Linked DNA regions of Mus musculus: all the other regions are reported to be linked to region 1. The links are microRNA targets in miRTarBase. Many come from high-throughput screens and were not tested one by one. Region 1 holds a microRNA gene; each other region holds the end of a gene's coding sequence.

What was found. Region 1 holds the annotated microRNA mmu-miR-1199-5p (UCUGAGUCCCGGUCGCGCGG, at 1,331-1,350, shown strand). A microRNA usually pairs through its seed, bases 2 to 8, with sites in the 3' UTR of a target mRNA and lowers its output. Matches are read on the target gene's strand: a 7mer-m8 pairs with bases 2 to 8, a 7mer-A1 pairs with bases 2 to 7 and ends in A, and an 8mer does both.
Region 2: the mRNA of Tmem263 is a reported target of mmu-miR-1199-5p. Seed matches in the 3' UTR shown: 7mer-A1 at 1,638-1,644 and 7mer-A1 at 2,347-2,353.
Region 3: miRTarBase lists Lrrc39 as a target of mmu-miR-1199-5p. Seed matches in the 3' UTR shown: 7mer-A1 at 1,062-1,068.
Region 4: the mRNA of Efr3b is a reported target of mmu-miR-1199-5p. Seed matches in the 3' UTR shown: 7mer-A1 at 1,797-1,803.
Region 5: miRTarBase lists Pphln1 as a target of mmu-miR-1199-5p. Seed matches in the 3' UTR shown: 7mer-A1 at 1,089-1,095.

What each region holds. Positions count from the first base shown.
Region 1 is chr8:84,008,878-84,012,943 of GRCm38, reverse strand. It overlaps Mir1199 (microRNA 1199), which reads left to right and starts at 1,311; the gene lies at 1,311-1,429. Misp3 (MISP family member 3) reads left to right here and starts at 1,224. Exons shown (of 3, transcript NM_001291292.1): 1 at 1,224-1,803; 2 at 2,172-2,233; 3 at 2,452-2,716. The coding sequence starts at 1,260. The coding sequence ends at 2,466.
Region 2 is chr10:85,114,034-85,118,099 of GRCm38, forward strand. It overlaps Tmem263 (transmembrane protein 263), which reads left to right. Exons shown (of 3, transcript NM_001013028.2): 3 at 375-3,714. The coding sequence ends at 661. Among named protein-coding and RNA genes, the nearest start is that of Mterf2, 12 kb to the right of the region's middle.
Region 3 is chr3:116,580,809-116,584,874 of GRCm38, forward strand. Lrrc39 (leucine rich repeat containing 39) reads left to right here. Exons shown (of 9, transcript NM_175413.4): 9 at 413-2,336. The coding sequence ends at 477. Trmt13 (tRNA methyltransferase 13) reads right to left here. Exons shown (of 12, transcript NM_030016.3): 11 at 1,686-2,115; 12 at 1-802. The coding sequence ends at 604. Among named protein-coding and RNA genes, the nearest start is that of Sass6, 12 kb to the right of the region's middle.
Region 4 is chr12:3,962,727-3,966,792 of GRCm38, reverse strand. Efr3b (EFR3 homolog B) reads left to right here. Exons shown (of 23, transcript NM_001082483.1): 23 at 246-4,066. The coding sequence ends at 351. Among named protein-coding and RNA genes, the nearest start is that of Pomc, 9.8 kb to the right of the region's middle.
Region 5 is chr15:93,488,546-93,492,611 of GRCm38, forward strand. It overlaps Pphln1 (periphilin 1), which reads left to right. Exons shown (of 9, transcript NM_175363.4): 9 at 429-3,368. The coding sequence ends at 623. Among named protein-coding and RNA genes, the nearest start is that of Pphln1, 92 kb to the left of the region's middle.

The DNA.
Region 1 (4,066 bases):
TGGGCCTCCTGGGCAAACTGGTCCAAGCTGACCGCCTTCCAGCCACAATTGCTCGGCTGAGGCCCGGAAGTCCTGTAATGTCTGTGCCCTCAAACACCGCTCATTCTAGCTGGACACTTGGCTGCCAATGCCTTGCGGGCTTTTCTGGAAGGTGGGGGTGGGGAATCTGCCCCAGGGTTTTGAGTGGCGGCAGCGCCGCTGCAAACCAGACAGAGCTGAGCAGCCCCGGGTAGCAGCAGCACCCAGTGCGGCGGCCCCGGGCGACCCTCGGGCTGGACTCGAGCTGTGTTGCCTCAGCGATCAGTGTGCAGAGAAGGCCCGGAGATCACGGGATAGGGGGCGGGGGGAAGGAGAGTGGTGTCGCTGGCCGCAGGCTGGCACTTGCTGACCTAGACTAGTGAGGTCAGCGAAAGACGACCGGGGAAACACTCTGTAAGGAGGCCGTGGTTCAGCGATCAGCGCGGCGCTCCGCTAGAGGTCAGGTCTCCGGAAAGTGATGAAAAAAAAAAAAAAAAAAAAAAAAGACCCCAGAATGCCAGCGTGGTACCAGAGGGAAAGGGCGACACATACCCCCTGGGTAGTGAGTTCAGGGAAGCCCTTTCCGAAGAAGCCACCCCTTCAGTCAACCCGTGTGTTCAGGTGGCGGGAATCCGGAGAGCAGTGGAGGCGCCCTGGCCCATAGGGCGGGTCCAGGGCCACTCGAATCCAGCTGGCAGGTGACGGGGGCGGTGCCCAGTCCTGCCCCCAGGGGATGTTCCTGGAGGCCAGAGGCGGGTCAAAGAAGAGTGCTGGCGACGCCTATGAACCTCGGGCGGCGGCTGTAACTACAGGTACTGCACAGGGCACCGTGTCCTACCTATTTGGGCATCTCAATTCGGCTCTGAGAACTAAAATTTTCAAAGGGCGCCTAACTCCAAACATCCATGTCCTCGGGTGTCCGAGAGTGGAGTCCTGGGGTCGCCTGAAGGCTACGTGTTCCGGGAGCCGCAGAGCCAGGGCACCGAGGGCTGCTGGGGGAGGCAGTGAGGTCCTGGAAACCTCTGGAGAGGAGCACTTGCAGACTCTGGAGCCAGAGAGCCAGGTCCCGCAGGTGCCAGTTGAGCACCGGACCGAGCGCCCGGGCGGTCCACAGCTGGGCCGCCTGGCACTAGTATAACGGAGGTACTGGGGCAGTTGTGCCCCTGTCTCGGCTCAGAGGCCTCCAGGTGTGTTTTCTACCGAAGCCCGCGGCATCCAAACCGGCGCCGGCGGAATTGCAGATGGAGACGCCCATCCAGCGCGAAATCCGCCGCAGCTGCGAGCGGGAGGAAAGCCTGCGCCGGAGCCGGGGTCTGAGTCCCGGTCGCGCGGGCGAGGAACTCATTGAGTTGCGCGTGCGGCCGGTGCTCAGTCGGCCCGGCTCCGGTACTCCGCTGCCGCGCGCCCTGGAGCGCGCTCGGGCGGGCGCGAAGATGCAACGGGACATCGAACGCGAGGCTCACAGGCAGGCGGCGCTGGCGAGCCCCGCGGTTCCGGAGCCTAGCGCCCGGCGGCGGCCGCAGCCGCTGGACGAACTCAAGCGCTTCTTTGAGGCTGCGGCGGAGGACGGCGCTGGCTTGCAGAGGCAGCCAGAGACCGGAGGCCGGCTGCACCCCGCCGTTCAGGACGGCTGTCCGGTACTGGGGCAGTTGCCACCGCTCGTTGCCCCGTCACTGCTGGAGCAGGAGGTGCGACGAGTGCGCGAGCGCGAGCGGGAGCTGCAGTTGCAGCGGCGCAGCATCTACGGCGACGCCGAGGTCCAGGAGCCAGCGCCGAGCCTCACCCGTAAGCGGTCCCCCTGGGCCCTAGAGCTCCAGCTGTCTCCACCTCCAGTGATCATTCATCTGTAGGCTTGCAGACCCTTAACTATTCTCCTGGGGGTTCACCTTCTTTTCTTCACTCCCACTCCTGGAGTGAGGATCCCCACATCCATCAGACCTTGGAACCTTGACTTCTGGCGTTCTCGGGTCCTCTGTAGTACTCGGGTGCCTCTCTACATTGAGTTTGCCTCATTCCTGTTCCTGGGTCCTCAGAACTGGGTGGAGGCCTTCATGGGGAAGAGGGGTGCACACCTGTATGTATATAAGGGGTGCGGCCATCCTCCAGCTGGCAAGAGGAGGGGCAGTCGCGGCTGAGTGTTCCTTCCCCCACAGCGAGCAGGGGAGATGGAAAATTGTCGGTGATCTGGCCTCCGCGGAGACGGGCCTCTGAGAAGGTGGGAGACTCCCTTTCCGATGCTTGTCGGTCTCCCAGCCCTCCCTGCAGCACCTGGGCACTGGGGTGGAGGGAGAAGGTGCCTCTTGGTCCCCTGGAGCGCCACTCTAACCCAAACTCAAAAGTCCTAGACGCGATCCAGAGAGTGAAGAGGAGGTGGAGGCCTAGAGGCCAAACTTCTCCCTGAGGGTGTTCTTTCTCTTCCCCTTTTCCTTCTAGGAGCGCAGACCCTGAGGTCTATGAAGGTTGGGACCTGCGGACAGAAGTAACATACCCTTTGGAGAACCAGGGTAGGGTTACTCTCCAGATCAGCAGAAGGCCTAGAGAGGGAAGGGCTAGCTTTCTTTAATGGCAACTTGAAATCCAGCCCATCTTTGATACTGACTATGGAATTAACCACCTTTCTCCATAAAATTCTCTAGTCTTCCTTGGAAACCCTGCAAAACCTATGAGTGAAACATAAAATAAACTCCTCCTCCCTTTACCTGGGCTTCAGTGCAAGCTATTTTCTACTGGGTCCTCCTTAGTCTGGGTGGGCGGAGGCTGGCAGGTGAAGAACGTTTGGAAAAGCCACCCAAGGATCCCGCCGGAATGTTGGAATTCAAAACGCGCTCTGGTCTCCTTGTTCTGGACTGACTGCGGACCCGGGCTTGGAGGCCAGGGCCCTACTGCCCCCTGGTGGTGAGAACGCAAAATGTTGCTCACCGGCCCACAGACTCCACTCTGGTATCCAGATGTCAGTTTTTATAGGCACCAAAACCATTCTGTGTTCAGGGAGCTGCTAGACCGAGGTGCTATGAAGTTGTATTTCCTGCTCTAGGGATATAAACAATAGTGTAAACATACTAGGGGTGGCTGGAGGGATGGTTTAGGGTAAGGAGTGCTTGCTATTCTTGCAAATGACCCGAGTTCAGTTCCGGGCATCTACATGGGAGGCTCACAACTGCTTATGTCCAGGAGAGCCATTGTCCACTTCTCTCCTCCAGGAAAATCTCAACATACATGGCACCCATTCGCACAAAATGCACACATATTCACATAAATTGAAATAAGGATAATTTTAAAAAAAGAAATACCAATGGTGGTGTTGAAGGATCAAGGACCTGGCAAGTGTTCTGGTGACCATCTTTGCTTGTTTCTTTTAAAACCGTGGCTTAAAAAAAAAAAAAAAAAGATAGAAAAAAGGCCGGGCGTGGTGGCGCACGCCTTTAATCCCAGCACTCGGGAGGCAGAGGCAGGTGGATTTCTGAGTTCGAGGCCAGCCTGGTCTACAAAGTGAGTTCCAGAACAGCCAGGGCTATAAAGAGAAACCCTGTCTCGAAAAACCAAAAAAAAAAAAAAAAAAAGATAAAACCGTGGCTTCGTATATCCCATATTGGCCTGAAATTCCCTTTGTGGTCGAGGGTGACCTAGAAAGTTTTAAAAGATTTATTTTTTGTATTCATGCTGTATGTATAAGTGTTTTGTTGGCTTGTATGTGTGTGTGTGCCTGTGTGTATGTGTGTGTGCCTGTGTGTATATGTGTGTGCCTATGTGTATGTGTGGGCCTGCAGAGGTGAGAAGAGAGTCAGATCCCTTGGAACTAGAGTTCCATGTGAGTGCTGAGAACTGAACCATGATCCTCCTAAAGTACTCTTAGCTGCCAAGCAACCTCTCTTTATTTTTAATTATAGGTGTGTGTTTGTTGGGGTATGTACATGAGAGTGCAGATATACAGATGCCCTCAGAGTCCAGAGAGACTGTTAGATCCCCCTAGAGCTGGAGCTACAGACAGCTGTGAACTACCAGAGATGGTGTTGGGAACTGGACCCAGGTCCTCTGCAATGGCTCTTAA
Region 2 (4,066 bases), not on the chromosome of region 1:
CTTCCTTTTAATAAAATATTCTGTGTCTTAATCAGCTTCCCTTCAAAATGGGAGATTCTAATCTCAGAGGAAATTGCTACACAACACTATGTGTGGTGGTGTATACCTATAATCTCAGTGTTTGTGAAGTAGAAGTAGGAAAATTGTGAGTTTGAGGAAAGTGTGGATTACATTAACAAGACCTTGCTTCGAAGACTTAGTTGTGCACCAAGGTATTAAATAAGGCATCTGCAGCTGTACTCAGGCAAGAGCTCCTTACTTACTCAGTATAACAGAGTTTATCAGATTAAGCTGCTAGTTGTGAGAAAGGTTATTTAATGATTTGAACTGTTCTTAGAAAGACTTGATATTGACTATCATATGTCTCTCATTAGGGTCAATGAAAGATCACCCGCAGCAGCAGCCAGGAATGTTGTCTCGTGTGACTGGAGGTATCTTCAGTGTTACAAAGGGAGCTGTTGGTGCCACCATTGGTGGTGTGGCTTGGATTGGTGGAAAGAGTCTGGAAGTGACCAAAACAGCTGTTACAACTGTGCCTTCCATGGGAATAGGGCTGGTGAAAGGAGGCGTGTCTGCTGTGGCTGGAGGTGTGACAGCTGTTGGGTCTGCAGTTGTAAACAAAGTGCCCTTATCAGGAAAGAAGAAAGACAAGTCTGATTGAAAGAGAAGTACACTTGCTCTCCACAGCATATGATGCCAGTGGCATTGAACAGTTCAATTACAGACTACAACCAAGTCAACCGCTAAACTGCTGTGTTGAAAGTATTGGTGACTGGCTGCATCTAAAACAAGAAGAGTCCAGTACTACCACAGTGTCTGAAGGCTTCTCATCCCTAAGTTCAGCTTTTTATCTGGTAAAATGTTACACTTGTTCAGTTGTAACTGAAGATATGGTATGTTTAAATATTTGCTCTAAGTCTTTCAGTTTGACTAAAAAATGTGAAAGTTCAACTTAGTAGATGATTTTACAGTTCCATGTGTACAGTGTGCCAGGTAACCCACACGACCCTTACAAAGGGACTCGAACTACATAAACTGTACCTTTGATGTGCCTAATAGTTTCAGATGTCTTAGTTTTTTATAACTATAGTGGTTTAGGCCAAGAGGCATTCTTATTTAAGCTGGCAAAAAAGTAGCAGGAATTCAAAAGTTTAGAAGACAAATGTTTTTATGATACTGTTGTTTTTTTTTTTGTTTGTTTTGGTTAGATAAGCATTCTGTTTGTTTAATCATTGATGCCTTACAAAAGAAAACATCTTTTCTAATAATCTTAAATATGTGCAGTTCTTATAATTATCAGTGAACTCTTTCAAAGGTTGTAAAATTAGTTTCCCTCTTAAAAATCTCAGGAGTATTGAGGTAAAGGAGTTTCCTGGTGTCAGTGGGTAAGAGTGCTTATCAGCTGTTGTGAGTAGTTAACACGAAATGTGCTTTAGTAGTTGGATTCATGCTCCCATCCTTAATACACCCCACAGTATCTATGGAACATTTCTTAGCTCATCAAAAGCTATGTGGGAAGTTTCATATTGAGAAGGAATACATTTTTTTTTTTGTTTTGTTTTGTTTTTTCGAGACAGGGTTTCTCTGTGTAGCCCTGGCTGTCCTGGAACTCACTTTGTAGATCAGGCTGGCCTCGAACTCAGAAATTCACCTGCCTCTGCCTCCCGAGTGCTGGGATTAAAGGTGTGCACCACCACACCCGGCAAATATTAATTTTTAAGTTCTTATAATTATCCTAGTAACCTAAGATAATCCTTCATGCTTATTCTTTCTTTAGGATGTCTTAAATTATTAGTAGTAATTCCTTTAAAAATACAATAAAATCAACCATTAATATATGAGGATTGACTCTTCAAATGAATGAGATGGGCTCTATACATTGGCTTTGAATTTAAAAAAAATAGATAAATGCTTTCAATGACGTATTTAGGGTTTTTTTTTTTTTTTTTTTTTTGTTGTTGTTGTTTTCTTTGAGATGGGGTCTTCTAAAGCCCAGGCTGGTCTTGAACTGGATATGTAGCTGAGGATATTCTTGCGCTTCTAATTCTGCACTCACCTCCCAAGTGCTGGGCTTAAGGCATGAGATACCATGCTTGCTTTATGTGATGTTGGGGATGGAACCCAGGGCTGCATGCATAGTAGGCAAGTACTGTACCAACTGAGTTGCATTCGTAGTGAAATTCGTTCATAGCTTTAAAACATGTTCTCTTATAGCCCTTTAAAGCAGCTGTAGACATACCATTTCTCAAGCCAGTTTCAGGCAGGGAGTTGAAGGTTTTTGATATGGATGGTAAGTGTGTTGTGTCTTAATGTGTTATCATAACATATTCATTTTCACAGAATGTAACTCAGAAGTTCATTTCTTTTTGTCTTAATGCTTAGTTTCATGGAAATTTATAAGTGACATATATTTGGCATTTATCTTACAATCTAAGCCTGAAAAAAATTCTTAATTTTCTTTATACCTAAAACTAGAATTCTGTCTTCATTCTGCCCCTTCTAACTCCCTGGAGAGAGGAAGGGAGTGGTGCCTTGGTGTAAGTCAAAATGTAGTGTTCCTGAGACCAGAAGAAGATCACCTGAATATGTAGGTTCAAATGTTTGGAACTCTTAAGAGGATTCTATTAGTAATGTGGGCCAACAGTTGAATAAAAATATAAATTTAAAAAGCACTCATAAATAACAGCAGGACTGTCAAGCAAATCTACAGATGTTCTTGAAACTTTGTTTATACAAAATTTAAAATCACTGAATTAAATTTAGAAGGAATTAAATGGTCATTTATTTCATGCAATATCATTTAAGAGACATTTGTTGATACATTTGGTGAAATGTGTTAACAAATGGTATTTTTAAAGTTCCAAAATTAATAGACCCATTCTCAGTGATCTAAATAATGGTATTGGAGAAATTGATTCCTGCTATTTAGAAGAATTTATTGATTCATATCTGGTTTGTATTTCTAACTTAGAGGTTCTACTATGCTTTGTACTTGAATTAGTCTAAGTGTAGGCTTAGTATACTATATGCTTGCATATTTATTTTCAACTTTGCTTGTCTTTAAAATCACTTGAGGAAAAATGGCTAATTAATTTCTGCTACAGAAAAGCCAACTGGTAAATTTTCTCAATTGTCTTAAATGCTAAAGTATAATGTGGTTCAGAGGGGCTTTTACGATAGCAGAGAACTGTACAAATATACAGGTAGCTGTAGTTCTAACTGAAATGAACTTGCCATTTGATGATGTGTACAGCTATATACCTGAGTCCCTTCTAGTTTATGTAGACTAGCAATTTGACCTGTTAAACAGGACTAGTTTACTTTGTTGTATACACCTGGAGGTATCTGTTATTCGACTCCATTTTTGAGTTTTGGCACAGTGAAGATAAATTTGTGTGACCCACTTGAATGACTGATCTAACAATGTTGATATGAATATTGTATTTAGTGAAATGTCAGATGAAAATACCTGATTGAATAATGCGGGGATTTTTGTATTAAAGGGATGGGAAAGAACACCTGAATCTGATAATAAAGGACTATGATCTACAAAGATGGAATGTTTCATAAAGATCTACAGAAATAAAGGGATTTTGTAAACAGGATGATCTTAAAAGTTAAGATTACACAGTTCAGGGTGTGCTGCAGTAAATTTTTTTGGTGATACTTTACAAACATGATATGGATGTAGACACAACAGTAAAGTGCAAACACAAAAACTAAAAGTCTGAAAATTCAAATGTCTAGATTTCGTCATCTCAGTTTGTTCAGTCTCTTTAACAACCTTTGTGGGTTATTCTTGGGCATACTAAAGTGTGAAAGCTGAAGAGCTAGACCTAGGGAACACTTTTCTATTGTATGTAGTTAAGGATCCCGTGGCCCCTTCACGCTGGCGTTTCTTCTGTGAGTTCTAGGAGTTAAACCTAACTTAGGTTCTAATGTCCCACGTGCTGTGTCCTGAGCCCTTCAACCCACTCTACAATGCCTTCTCACTTCCCTACTCCAACAGTCACTCTGGATAAGTCAACCAGTGATTGCCCTATTCCAAATTCATTAGTCACTTCCC
Region 3 (4,066 bases), not on the chromosome of region 1:
AATTCTTAAATTTCTAAATTTGTCTGTGTTCAAGATAATTACAATTATTCTTTCTAGACCTATATTGAAAAAAAAAAAAAGCCTCACTCAGGCGTGGTGGCGCACGCCTTTAGTCCCAGCACTTGGGAGGTAGAGGCAGGCGGATTTCTGAGTTTGAGGCCAACCTGGTCTACAAAGTGAGTTCCAGGACATTGAGGGCTACACAGAGAAACCCTGTCTCGGGGAAAAAAGAAAAAAGAAAAAAAGAAAAAAAGAAAAAAAAAAAAGCCTCACACTCAGATTGATCCTTGTTATAAATTTATACTGTTTATTATAACTGGAGCTCAAAAAATGAAAAAAATCAAATAAAACCTTTACCAGATTAATACACAGAGTTCACACTATAATTATATACTGGTGTTATATCTTTCAGAAGACCAAGTCAACTGTCTGACTCAAATGCCAAGCTCTATACATTCTGATGGAGAAAGTAATTGAAAGAGCCCTGCTGAAAAGGAATACTTTGACTACTTGGTGAATATTTTTGTGAATATCGAAATATAATTTAAAAATAATTTAAATTTTTTTGTTTGTGGAAGACAAACGTCACGTTCATGTTTCCTTTCATTGATGATGTTTTTCCTGCGATGACGGATGAGCTGGTACGGCAGTTAATAATACGTTTTCCAGAGACACCAATGGGTCCGTATAGTACTGTAAGGCAGGACTGAAGCCTTTCTGCTGTAAATACTGGAGTCTGCCTTGGTCAATCAGCAGTTTACAAAGATGTCCTATTTTCTTCTTTTCTTCAACAGTAAGAATCCTACATGGAATAAGCACACAAAAATTTAAAGTTTGGTAAAAGTTCATACCAAGTTTGGCCACTGCCATTTACGAAGCTGCTAACTAGCCAACAGCACGTACTAGGCGCTATGTCTGATGCTTCTAAGACGCCTTTTCTTCTTTTTAAGATTTATTTATTTATTTTGTTTATATGAATAACTGTCTTCAGACACACCAGAAGAGGGCATCAGATCCCATTACAGATGGTTGTGAGCCACCATGTGCTTGCTGGGAATTGAACTCAGAAACTCTGGATGACCAGTCGGTGCTCTTGACCACTGAGTCATCTCTCCAGCCCCATCTAAGACTTTTCTTTATGATCACAATTAAAATATGTTTTAGTTTATTCTAAAATTAGAATGTAAGCTATATTTTCTAAATTTTTGATAACAGTCATCTAAGGAAAAAAAAAAAGAATCCTTCTCCTTCAGTTTTACTTTGTATACTTGATCTCAGCCAAAAGACTAAGAAACAACCATTCGGTTTTATTTGCTATGGTTTCTCCTGGCCAAGGTCAATCAGTGTGAAAATATTCAATGGAAAATTCTGAAAATGAACCATTGGTAGTGGCATTCTGAGTAGCATGGTGAATCATGGGCCACCCACTCCTTCCTATCCGGGGAATGAACCTGTGCCTCACACATGAGCATCCTTAGCACAGCCACACCGTGCTGCCCACTTGCTAGACGTTGTGCAGCCATCTTGACTACCAGATGGACAGAGTAGGTAAGTGCAATGCTAGTGTGTGGGGTTCTGTTTTATCTACGGTTCGAGGCATCTGTGCAGTCTCACCCACAGGAGGACTAGTTTACGGGGATAAAGTATCTCCCTGTAGCATGGTGTTTGTAGCTGTCGTCACTTACCCAGGCAAACTGTCAGTGTTGCCATCTGTGAGTCTGTCTCCTCCATCATCGTGCTCTTCATTCTCATCCCTTTGAGCATCTTTTCTCTCTGGAGTAACATCCGAGCCTTCCAACGATGTCCTCATTCCACACGTTGCCCAACTACTCATTCTCTGGAAATAGTAGAACTCTACCGCCCCAAGTCCAAGAGCCTTGAAATACTCTTTGCCCACATAATGTCTCCAGTCACACCTGTGGTGACAACAGAGCGCAATCACAATGCCAGCCACCGGGGTCCATGTCTCTGGGACATCTTTTTCACTTCCTTCCTTGGCCAAAGTGTTACTTTCTTTTTCTGTCTTATCATTCTTTATGCGTTTGGCTAAAGGTTCTTCATCCTTTTCCTCAAAACTGGCAGCATAGGTTTCAACCAAACATCGTAATGCAACATCTGCAAACACAATCATGTGCCCCCACCAAACCGCATCATCTTTAAAGTTCAGTAAGCAGTATGGCTAGTGCAAAACATTCTTAACACACAAACCAGCAAAAATCTACTTAGCTATATACTGTAACAATTCTACCAGATATTATACATTTTTCTCAAATTTTCCATCTTAATTTTTCTAGTGATTTATTTGCCCAATAAAATTATTTTAAATAAAATTAAAACAAGCTTAAGTCTTATGATTTGAAAAATTTCTGTCCAACTATTTGCATTGTCTTGCATTTCTCCTATTCTAGCTACAGTGAAGAAACCCCAAAGACAGAAATGAGGAAGGTAATTTCACTTAGAACACTGACCCGGGCTGGAGAGGGTAGTTTTTTGGTTTGTTTCTGTTTTGTTTTGAGATAGGTTCTGTATAGCTGATGCGGATCTCAAATTCCTGATCCTCTGCGTGCATCTCCTGGTGTGTTGGGGTTGCAGATGTGTGCCAGCACACCTGTCTAAGATGCTAATCTTGAAATGCAGGCTGATCACAACAAATAGTGATGAATTGAAAAGTTGAGAAAGGGAGATTCCAATGTGGAAAACAGGCTGAATAGCTTTCCTGCACACCAGCATTTGTTCAGCAAGTATTTGCTAAATGCCTTGCATACACAAAACACGGAGGCTGCAAGCACTACAACTGCCATGCTAGGGGCGGAAGAGATGGCGGTGGCTGAAAGCTCTTGCTGCTCTTGCAGAACAGCCAGGTTTGGTTCCCAGCACACACAGGGTGGCTTAAAGCTGCTCAGGGGTTCTAGTTCCAGGGGATCCAGCACCCACTCTGGCCTCTGTGGGCACCAGATATGCACGCATTGCACTTCCATGCATGCAGATAAAACACCCATACACATAAAATAAAAATAAATATATATATTAAAAACAAAATAAGGCTTCCAAACTTCCAGACAGTATAGCTGGCAATATTGGAAAGATCGCAAATGTATGCTGTAAAACTTCTATTTTCTCTGATTAGATTGTCATATCATACCAATTACCTACAAACAAATGTAGTTCTACAATTTCTTACCCCATGATATACAATGGATGTATCTTACCTGATTTTTTAATCATGCCAACAAGCATTATTGGTAACTATTATTTGATAAAGTGATAGCTGATTTGGTAATTTCATGGTCTGTCTGTGTCTCTGTCTTTTTTTTTCCCTTCTCTGTCATGAGAGAGTGGACCTTATGTTGCCCAGACTGTGGAGGGACTCAAGTGTGACTGATTTAGCTCAGCTGATCCTCCTGCTTCAGCTTCCTGAGCATCTGGGAGTCTGAGTATGCCACTTCACCCACGTCTATTAACTACTATTTTCTAACAAAATATATTTTCTGTTTAATTTACATTTGACTTAAACATAATTTTAAGAAGTGAGAATAATCAGAAAAAATATTAGAAGGACTAAGTTATTTCAGAAACAAAGATTATTAGCAAGCTCAAACTCTTTCATAGTGACCTTATGACCTTCTTCTTAGAAGGCATAAGGAAGCAGCAAGCTGGTGGCCAAGGTCATTCAAATATTCAATGAGTCCCTCTATATTGCGTTATATTAGCATGTACTTCATTCTTGGAAAAAACTCCCAGCACAGTGTAGTGATTAGACATACAAGCAGATAATTAAAAAAACAAGCAAAAGCTACGGGGAGTTTGTCCTGACGACACTAAGGGCGTAAAGCTGAGCTGAGGGATGAGCAGACACTGGACCAGTTCTTCGAATGGGTGACAGTGGAATTCTAGGAATGGCTGGAGCAATATGGCATTTAGGAAAATAAACACGGTCCACACTAATCAACAGTAAACCCAGAGGCAGAGTGACTGAGTTTCAAGTCATGGATGGGTCTGAATATTAATACTTCAAGCACAGGGAGCCAAAAGTGATGGAAGAAATGGAAGGCAGGGTACTGATAAG
Region 4 (4,066 bases), not on the chromosome of region 1:
GGGGGTCACCACAACATGAGGGACTGCATTAAAGGGTGGCAGCATTAAGAAGGTTGAGAACCGCTGCTGTAGAGCCTATACAGGGAGTTTTGACTGAGCTGAAGATCATAGAACATCTTGAAAATCTGGGAACTCGTGGAGTGGCATGCATTTTAAAGAGAAACCAAAACCAGCTGCTGTGTTCAGTTGCACCAGGGTAGGACCCCAGCTCTTGGTTCCTACCTCTCTCCTCTGTGTGTCTCCAGGCCCCCTCCAAGCCCTTCAGGAACCATCAGCGCAGCCTACGGCCAGCCGCAAAACCACTCCATCCCTGTCTATGAGATGAAGTTTCCTGATCTGTGTGTATACTGAACTCCAGGAGACAGAGCTCCTTAGAGGACACAGTCTGCAAGAGGACCACCCCCCTGCTCACTCTCACCTTGGAAATCTAGCTGGGATGGCTAAGAACTTGTCACCTTGGACAGTGAGCAAAAGGTCCTCTCTGGTCCTCTGTGGTCCTCCTTCCTCCTTGTCGTCTTCCGTGAGAAGAGTCCAGCCACCTCTCCTCTGGGCTAATAAGCATCTGACCTGTCTTCTCTTGTATCAGCCAGGGACAGAGAATCACAAGGACATCTCCATTGAGAAGCAGAAGGGCCTGGGAAGCCTCCATTGGGGATGTGTCTATGAGGGAGTGTCAGCCACTCCCAAAGAAAGGAGCCTGATATCCACATGGTTGGTCAAAGGAGGGCAGAGGTGGCACCTGGGGAAATGACCCTGTGAAAGCTCAGAAGTGATGTCTGCTCTCGCCTCTTAAGTCTTGGTTGTCTTACCCAGCATCCCGCCTACTCTCTAGTTGTCTGCATTTCTTTTTCTACTATTAATCAATGCTGAGGACTTACAGCCAGAGCTGGGGACAGACACTGGAGCCAGCAAGGCTAGCAGAAGAGCTGGGGATGGAGAGGGGCTGGGTCTCCCAGACTGGGTGGCAGCTTCAGCAAAGCACGAGTGTGGTGAGTCTGTGTCCTGGCTGCGTAGCATCTTCCCACATCTCTGTCCAGAGGAAGCTTGGGGTGGGTCTTCTCTGGTTCTCTCTCTTCTGGATGTTTCCTAGTTGTTAAGTTTGGTCCCTGATGTCTTTGTTTCCACAGCCTCTGGGATGAGAGAAAGCTGAGCAAGCTAGCTGGTTCTAGGTGGCTGGAGAGGGGGGGAGGAAGTGCCAGGGCCCTGAGGCCTGTCTGCATCACTTCCTCTGGAAGATGCTCCCAGCAGTAGTGAGGGCTTGAGAGAGAGGCAGGCAGTTGAGCAAGTGGCACTTTAGAATTTGGGGAAAGAAAGATTTAACAACTAGGATTGAAAAAATATTTTCCCTCTTTGGGCTAAGTCTGAGACACTGGGGATAATTGGCCTTGCTTGTAGCCTGGGTAGAGGTGTTAGGAATCACTTTGGCTTCCATTTTCCCTATGTGCTACCTCCCTGTCCCTATGTGACTTGGTGTGCTGGGAGCAGCTGACCCAGGACTGGGTGGGTGCAAACAAGGCCACTTGCAGTTATCTTGGTTTGGCCCTTTCCTGATGTCCCTCGTGGTGTCTCCGTGCCTCTCAGAATGCCTAGCAGTGGGCATACTCCACGGTCCAAGATAGTCCATCTTTTCCCTTTCAAACTTCCCATACGTTTTCCAAGCTGTTTTTCTCTCAGGACCAACATTGCTCCAGAGATTTTTGGTTTGGTTTGGTTTGGTTTGGTTTTTTTCGAGACAGGGTTTCTCTGTGTAGCCCTGGCTGTCCTGGAACTCACTTCGTAGACCAGGCTGGCCTTGAACTCAGAAATCCACCTGCCTCTGCCTCCCAAGTGCTAGGATTAAAGGCAGAGATTTTGCTTCTTGTAAAGGGGAAGTGGTTCTGTGGTCTGCAGGAATCATTTCTAAGGTATGGTTGTAGGCAGTGTGGCCTGGGGTCATAAAGGAGAAGTTGAGCTCCTCGGGACCCTGCATAGTGACAGCCTGCTCACTAGGACAGGTGGCAACATTTTCCAGAATTAGGAGAACTTGAGCACATGTACTTTTCGTTGCATATGTGATAAATATCACAGATGGGGCACTCCTGACCCTTTCCCCAGAGTTTCCCATTTGTAATACAACTCTTTCCCATGTTCTCTGCACTGAGCTACGGGCTCACGGCTCCAGCATGGCCTGCATGATCTCAGGTCCCTGAGGACAACACCCCAACACCACTCACATGGCTTTGGAGCTGTGTGGCTACTGCTCAACCCAAGTTTATAAGCATGGCCTTGAAGGCAAGTTTAAGCATGAAGGCAAGTAACCTTTTAGAAACTAAGAAAATTTAAGCCTTGTGCTAAAAACTGTCTTTTTTCACTTGCCGGCCACATCCTCTATCCTCTGCTTAGCTAGAGTAAGAGTCCATTAGTTTCTTTATTGTTCCCCACTGATGTCATTGTCCACCCCTGAGACACCTTAACCCTAGTTGTGGATTGGGAGAGACACTTCCTTGGAGTCTTTTGAGAGCCAGCATCAGAACCAGATGCCTCCAGGCCCACACAGATATGTCTGTCTCTCACCTTGCCCTGGGAACAGAAGAAAGGCACAGCGTTCATGTCTGCAGAATCAATGGCTGCTCGGTCTAAGTATTTCTTTTTCTTCATGCCGTGGCTGTGTAGTAGGGACATGCTGCTTTTAGAGAACTGGTCACTTGTGTGCCCTCTTCTTGGTAGAATTGATTTAAATTTACATCCAGTAGGATACTGGGTTGCCTGTTGACAGGAAATGGAATCTGATCGTGACCAAGTATGCCTCAGAGTCAGGAAGTCTAGATGGTGGGTGCAGGAGGATCTGTCCCTCCATCACAAGGCAGGGAAAAGAAGCACAGCGAGTGGAGGCCGGGGAGCAGCCCAGTGCCCATGCTTTTCTAGCCCCTGGTGTCTGATCGCACTGTCTCAAATTCTGTTCTCTTTCCCTATTGTAAACCAGAATCCAAAGGAGCCAACAAACCTATTAAGGCCAAGCAGTCCCTACCCCACCCCCATGATCAAAGCACCCAGGGCTCTGGCCTAGAGAGTGACATCCTACTGACAGAATGTAGCAGGTGGGAGTGTGTTTAGGGTTAGGAGTTAACGTGGTTGACCATAAAAGTGTAAACAGTAGATTAAGAGAAAATGCCTGATCCAGAAGCAGCTGCTGTTTTCCTATGCTGAGTCAGTTTCTTGTTTTCTCTTGACTAAAATAGATGGTTTCATGACTCCTAAGTGGCCTCATCAGAAAACCTAGAAATGCCCCCTCTGGCTCCCACCTTCACGCAAAGCCGGAGAACGTAGGCTGGGACCAAGGACCCTGGTCAGAGCAGCCATATCCCATATGCTGCCTGTGCGTATGGGATATGTTACTGGTCTTGGTCCACACGATGCAGTTCAGCTGAAGTAGGATTGGAAAAGCCTTAAGACTCTTGACTTCCTGAAAAGAAGCCCCAGACTTCTTGAGGGTCCCTGGGTCGTGGTGCCTTCCAGTTGTCCTTTTGGTGTCATAGACCTGCCAACCTGCTACAGAGAAAGCTGCTAAGCCCTGTGGCTTAGCTGTGTTTGGGGCCTGGGGGAAAGGCAAGGTCTAAGCTGTGGGTCTGAACTTTGTGTTTAAAAGTAGATTTGGAGGTCGGGAAGGGGTCTGCTTTTTTTGACCTTCTCCAGCAAGCAGATTGCACCAAAGCAAGAATTCTGTCCTCGGAATCTGGGAATAAAATTTAGGGGAAACAGTCTGGTTTCTATGACCCTATAAAGCTGGGTCTTGTCTAAAGACTGCAGAGGGAAATCATGGGAGGCCCTGATCGTGATTCTGGGCACCAGCCTGGCTCCTCAGGGAGCACGGAGATCTTCTGAGCCCAGCACTTGCCCTTTCTGAACTCTTAATGACTGGAGTCTGGCACATGGAGTATAAAAGTGCACACCCATAGATGCTGCAGCCCATCATCTCAGTGTGTCCGAGTTTTTGAGACCTTCATGCCTGGCTGAGTGTGTGTATGTGTCAATGTCCGTGCATGTGTGTGATGTAGTTTATAGTTGCCAACATTGTATATATAATAGC
Region 5 (4,066 bases), not on the chromosome of region 1:
GTCTTACGATTGTAGTAGTTCTGGCTGAGAGAGAATTTGCTATGTAGACCAAACTGGCCTCCAACTCAGAGATCCTTCTGCCCCTCCTGGGATTAAATGTGTGGCTGGCACGCTGATGACAAAGCCTTTCTTCTCTTAACAAATGAGTGAGGATTTTTTTGCCTTTCTTTTGTCCTTACCTTCTTTACCTAACCCAAGTGTAAAGCCCTGTGCTTTTCTCAGTGATGGGTGCGTCTGTCTGTCTGTCTGCCTGCCTGCTTATTCAGTTGTGAGCTGATACCCAAGGCATGTGGCTGTGCTGATACAGGGGAGGTTCAGCCATCTTACAGGTTTAGCTCCCTTACAGGTTTCAGCAGCTGAGTTCTACCGGCTCAGCCAGCCATGGGCTTAATTCACTCATCTAATCCAAATGTGTTTTGCCATCCTAGGTTTACCGACAAGACTGCGAGACTTTCGGGATGGTGGTGAAAATGCTGATTGAAAAAGATCCCTCATTAGAAAAGTCTGTCCAGTTTGCACTGAGGCAGAACTTACACGAGATAGGTGAGCGCTGCGTGGAAGAGCTCAAGCGTTTCATTACTGAGTATGACAACTCTGCTCAGGACTTTGGAGACCCCTTTTAGAAGAAGAAGTACCCAGGTCAAAAGGTTTTCTTAGATTGTTTTTTTCTCCTTGGATTGTGTAAATCCTTACTATTTTGTGATGAAGAGAAATACTTTATGATAGCTAAGCACATTTCTAGTACTAAATAAACATCTACAATAGCTTAAAGTATCTTAATTAGAATGTTTCCCCTATGTGTAGAATATTCTACTCTATCTTCATACATTTCCTCCCTCCAAAAATAATATTCAGTTACTTTAATGTTCAAAAGAAAAAAGCAGCTCTGGAGAGCAGCTCCCTGTATTTAACCCATGTTTCATAGTCTTCCATGACGTCTATGGTCATCTTTTTGCATACCGTGTAAAGGTTGTCTTTTTTATTTTGTTTTGTGTTTTTTGTCTTTTTGTTCTTTTTTTTCGAGACAGGGTTTCTCTGTGTATCCCTGGCTGTCCTGGAACCCACTCTGTAGACCAGGCTGGCCTCTAACTCAGAAATCCGCCTGCCTCTGCCTCCCAAGTGCTGGGATTAAAGGCGTGCGCCACCACTGCTGTATTCAGATGTTGATTTCCAGCTGAATACTCTTTGGTATTGTTATTTGAATTGCTAAGCACCTTCATTGTAGTTTGTAAACTCTCCTCTCCACCACCTTCTGATTGGTAAACACTGAGGGCCTGTAGGTCAGGAAAGGAAAGGCAGGGCAGGGCAGGGCATCACAAAAGGAAGTCTGACTTTCAGGGACTGAAAGATAACGGGCCATGTGGCAAACATGGACCAAAATAAATGGATTAGTTAAGCCATAGGAGCTAGTTGGGAAGAAGCCTAAGATATAAGGCCTTGGCATTCATAAATAATAAAAAGTCTCTGTGTTATTGTTGGGAGTCAGGGGTCGAAACAGTCTAACAGTAGTGATCATTTGGTCTCAGGAGTTTAATTTGTAGTTAAGATCATTCCAGATTGCATACAATTAGTGGTACCGTTAGCATTTTGAGTTGGTGATGTCAAAATATGCTGTCTTAATGAGTTAGAACTTTGCTATCATTCAATATTTGCTTTGAGAATAATTCTTATTCAATATACAAAAAAATGCACTTGAAAATCTGTAAGGATCTGTTAGAACAAAATCTTCTCCCAAGTCAGTAAACTTGGTTCATCTCTTCTATGAAGTGCTCTTAAGGCTTCTACCTGCTCTCTCTAGACAATATTATGGACTAACAGGAGAGGTAATCTGAGATGCAAGATGAATATTAAGTTGAGATGGTCTCAGAAACCCATCTCATGGGTATAATAAAAAAATTAGAATATACAGAGCACTTAAGTTATGTTTTAGGCCCACATTATATCAAAAACGGGACCTGACATGGCACTCATGCTTGGGATTAAGCTATAGATTACTCTGTCCATCTCCGTGATCTCAGTTCTGTGGGCGTAGAGGGGCTCACTGCTCACAAGTGTCCTCAGAACACACTGAGGCCAGCACAGCTGCCAGCAGGTCCTGAGTGAGCCACTGAATCAGTGAAGAGACACTTAGGATCTCTTGCTCACTTCCTGGTCCCTGGTTCACTGAGGCAAAATACTAAATTTGTGACATTAGGCACCTTAAAAAAAATCACTGCCCAATCAAATTATCTACCTTTTTTTGGGGGGGGGCGAGGGGGGTCAGGGTCTTACAGTATAGTCCTAGCTAGCCTGAAAATCTCTGTGTAGACTAGGATAGCCTTAAACTCACAGACATCTCCCCACCCCTACCTCTTACATGCTGGCGTTAAGCCCACGGGCCACCCTGCTCAGCATCCTTTTGTTTGTTTTCATTTTCATTTTTTTTCTGTCCTTATTACTTTTTGATTCGAGACAGGGTTTTGCTGTGTGTCCTAGGCTGGCTTCAAACTTAACTGCTCTGGCCTTTAGCTTTCGGGATTCCTGCCTCAGCTTTCCTGAGCCCCAATGCTTGCCGTGACCATTGAGTGGCCTCTATGATCCTGTCTGCGGATATCCCTAAACCACATACAGATTATACTTAAGTAGAAATAGAAGAATGGTTAATTTTAATGAGCCCTAAAATAGATGTGTGAAGATTTGTATTATGCCATTTTGAAAATTTAAAACTAATTGACGACATGTTTTTTGTTTTGTTTGTTTTCTTAAATTCCCCAAGTGAGAACACTTGTACGTTTTGGCATTGAGTCTTTCCATCCCTTTTCTGCGCACACTCCCCTTCTGAGCGTGTGCTGCGCAATGCCGGTCACTTCAGTAATACCACAAGCGATTTTCCTTCTTCCCTTCCACTAATTCTCAGCTCTTTAAATCAAGTTATTAACAAGCATACGTATAAAATTTGAGGAGCTTCCAAGGCAAAAAAAAAAAATGTTCACTTGGTAGAAACATTCATTTAAAAAGAGAATCTTACTGATAAATTATTTAAGTGAAGGCCCAGCCAGTCATCCTCTTCCTTCCACTCACACTGGGCCTTCGAAGCTGTGTCCAGCTTGCCGTCCGCGCTGTTCTGCCAGGCTCCACAGTGTTAAATGTTTCCTTCATCTTTGTTTTTTTTTAAATGCCTTTTGACATCTAAAATTCATGTGTACTAGAGTATGTTTTATAAAATGTTTTTGATTCTACGGAGACATGTTTGTAAGTTATCCATTGTTTTTCAATAGACCTGATTCATATGATAAGTTCTCATTGCCTCACCATAAGGCCTTGATGATCAATATGGGGAAAGCAGATACTGTAAATGCAAAATAAAGCATCCGATACTAAGTAATAAATTCGTCTCCTCTCGTTTTTCCTGGTTCCTGTGACTGAAGTGTAAGCGTTTTCATCTGTGCCTGCACGATGACTCTAGCAGTCAGCTCACCACTCGACAGCCAGGTAGAAGTCGGAGGATCGAGGCGCTGTTAACTTGGACGGTTTCTGGAATTTTGATGTTACAGAAGCCAGTCCTCATAGTGCCTGGCCCAGTGACACTAAGTAATTACAGAGCTGAACTTACGAGGCTGAATGTCTTCTTCCTGAGCTGTCATCACTCCTGCACAGCAGTAACCGGGCTCTCTGTACCAGTCTGGTTCACAGCTTGGCATGCTATAGGTATTGGTGCTTGTCAGCCTAAAGCTGACTTCACCTTCAAGTGAAACTTGAGAAATAGGATTCATTCAGACTGAGAGGTGTGAGGAGCTCAGAAGGAAAGGTTGGTATGTCCCTTTGTGGCCAAAGTCAGTTTTCACTGCTGTGATAGGATTTCTCTTTTTAATCTTGATTTTAGGCATGTGGGCCCTCAGCTACTGGGCTCCACCATTTTTGGATCTGTGGTAAAGCGTGCCTTCATGGTGGGGAACTTGTAGCAGAGCAGAATTGCTCCATATATAGCATAGAGCCCGGGGGAGGGGGGGGGGTGAAGTAGACACCTGTGGGCCTCTTCCTTCTCCTCTGGATACCACACCCAGGGAGTGTCTTCCCCCTTGATGTC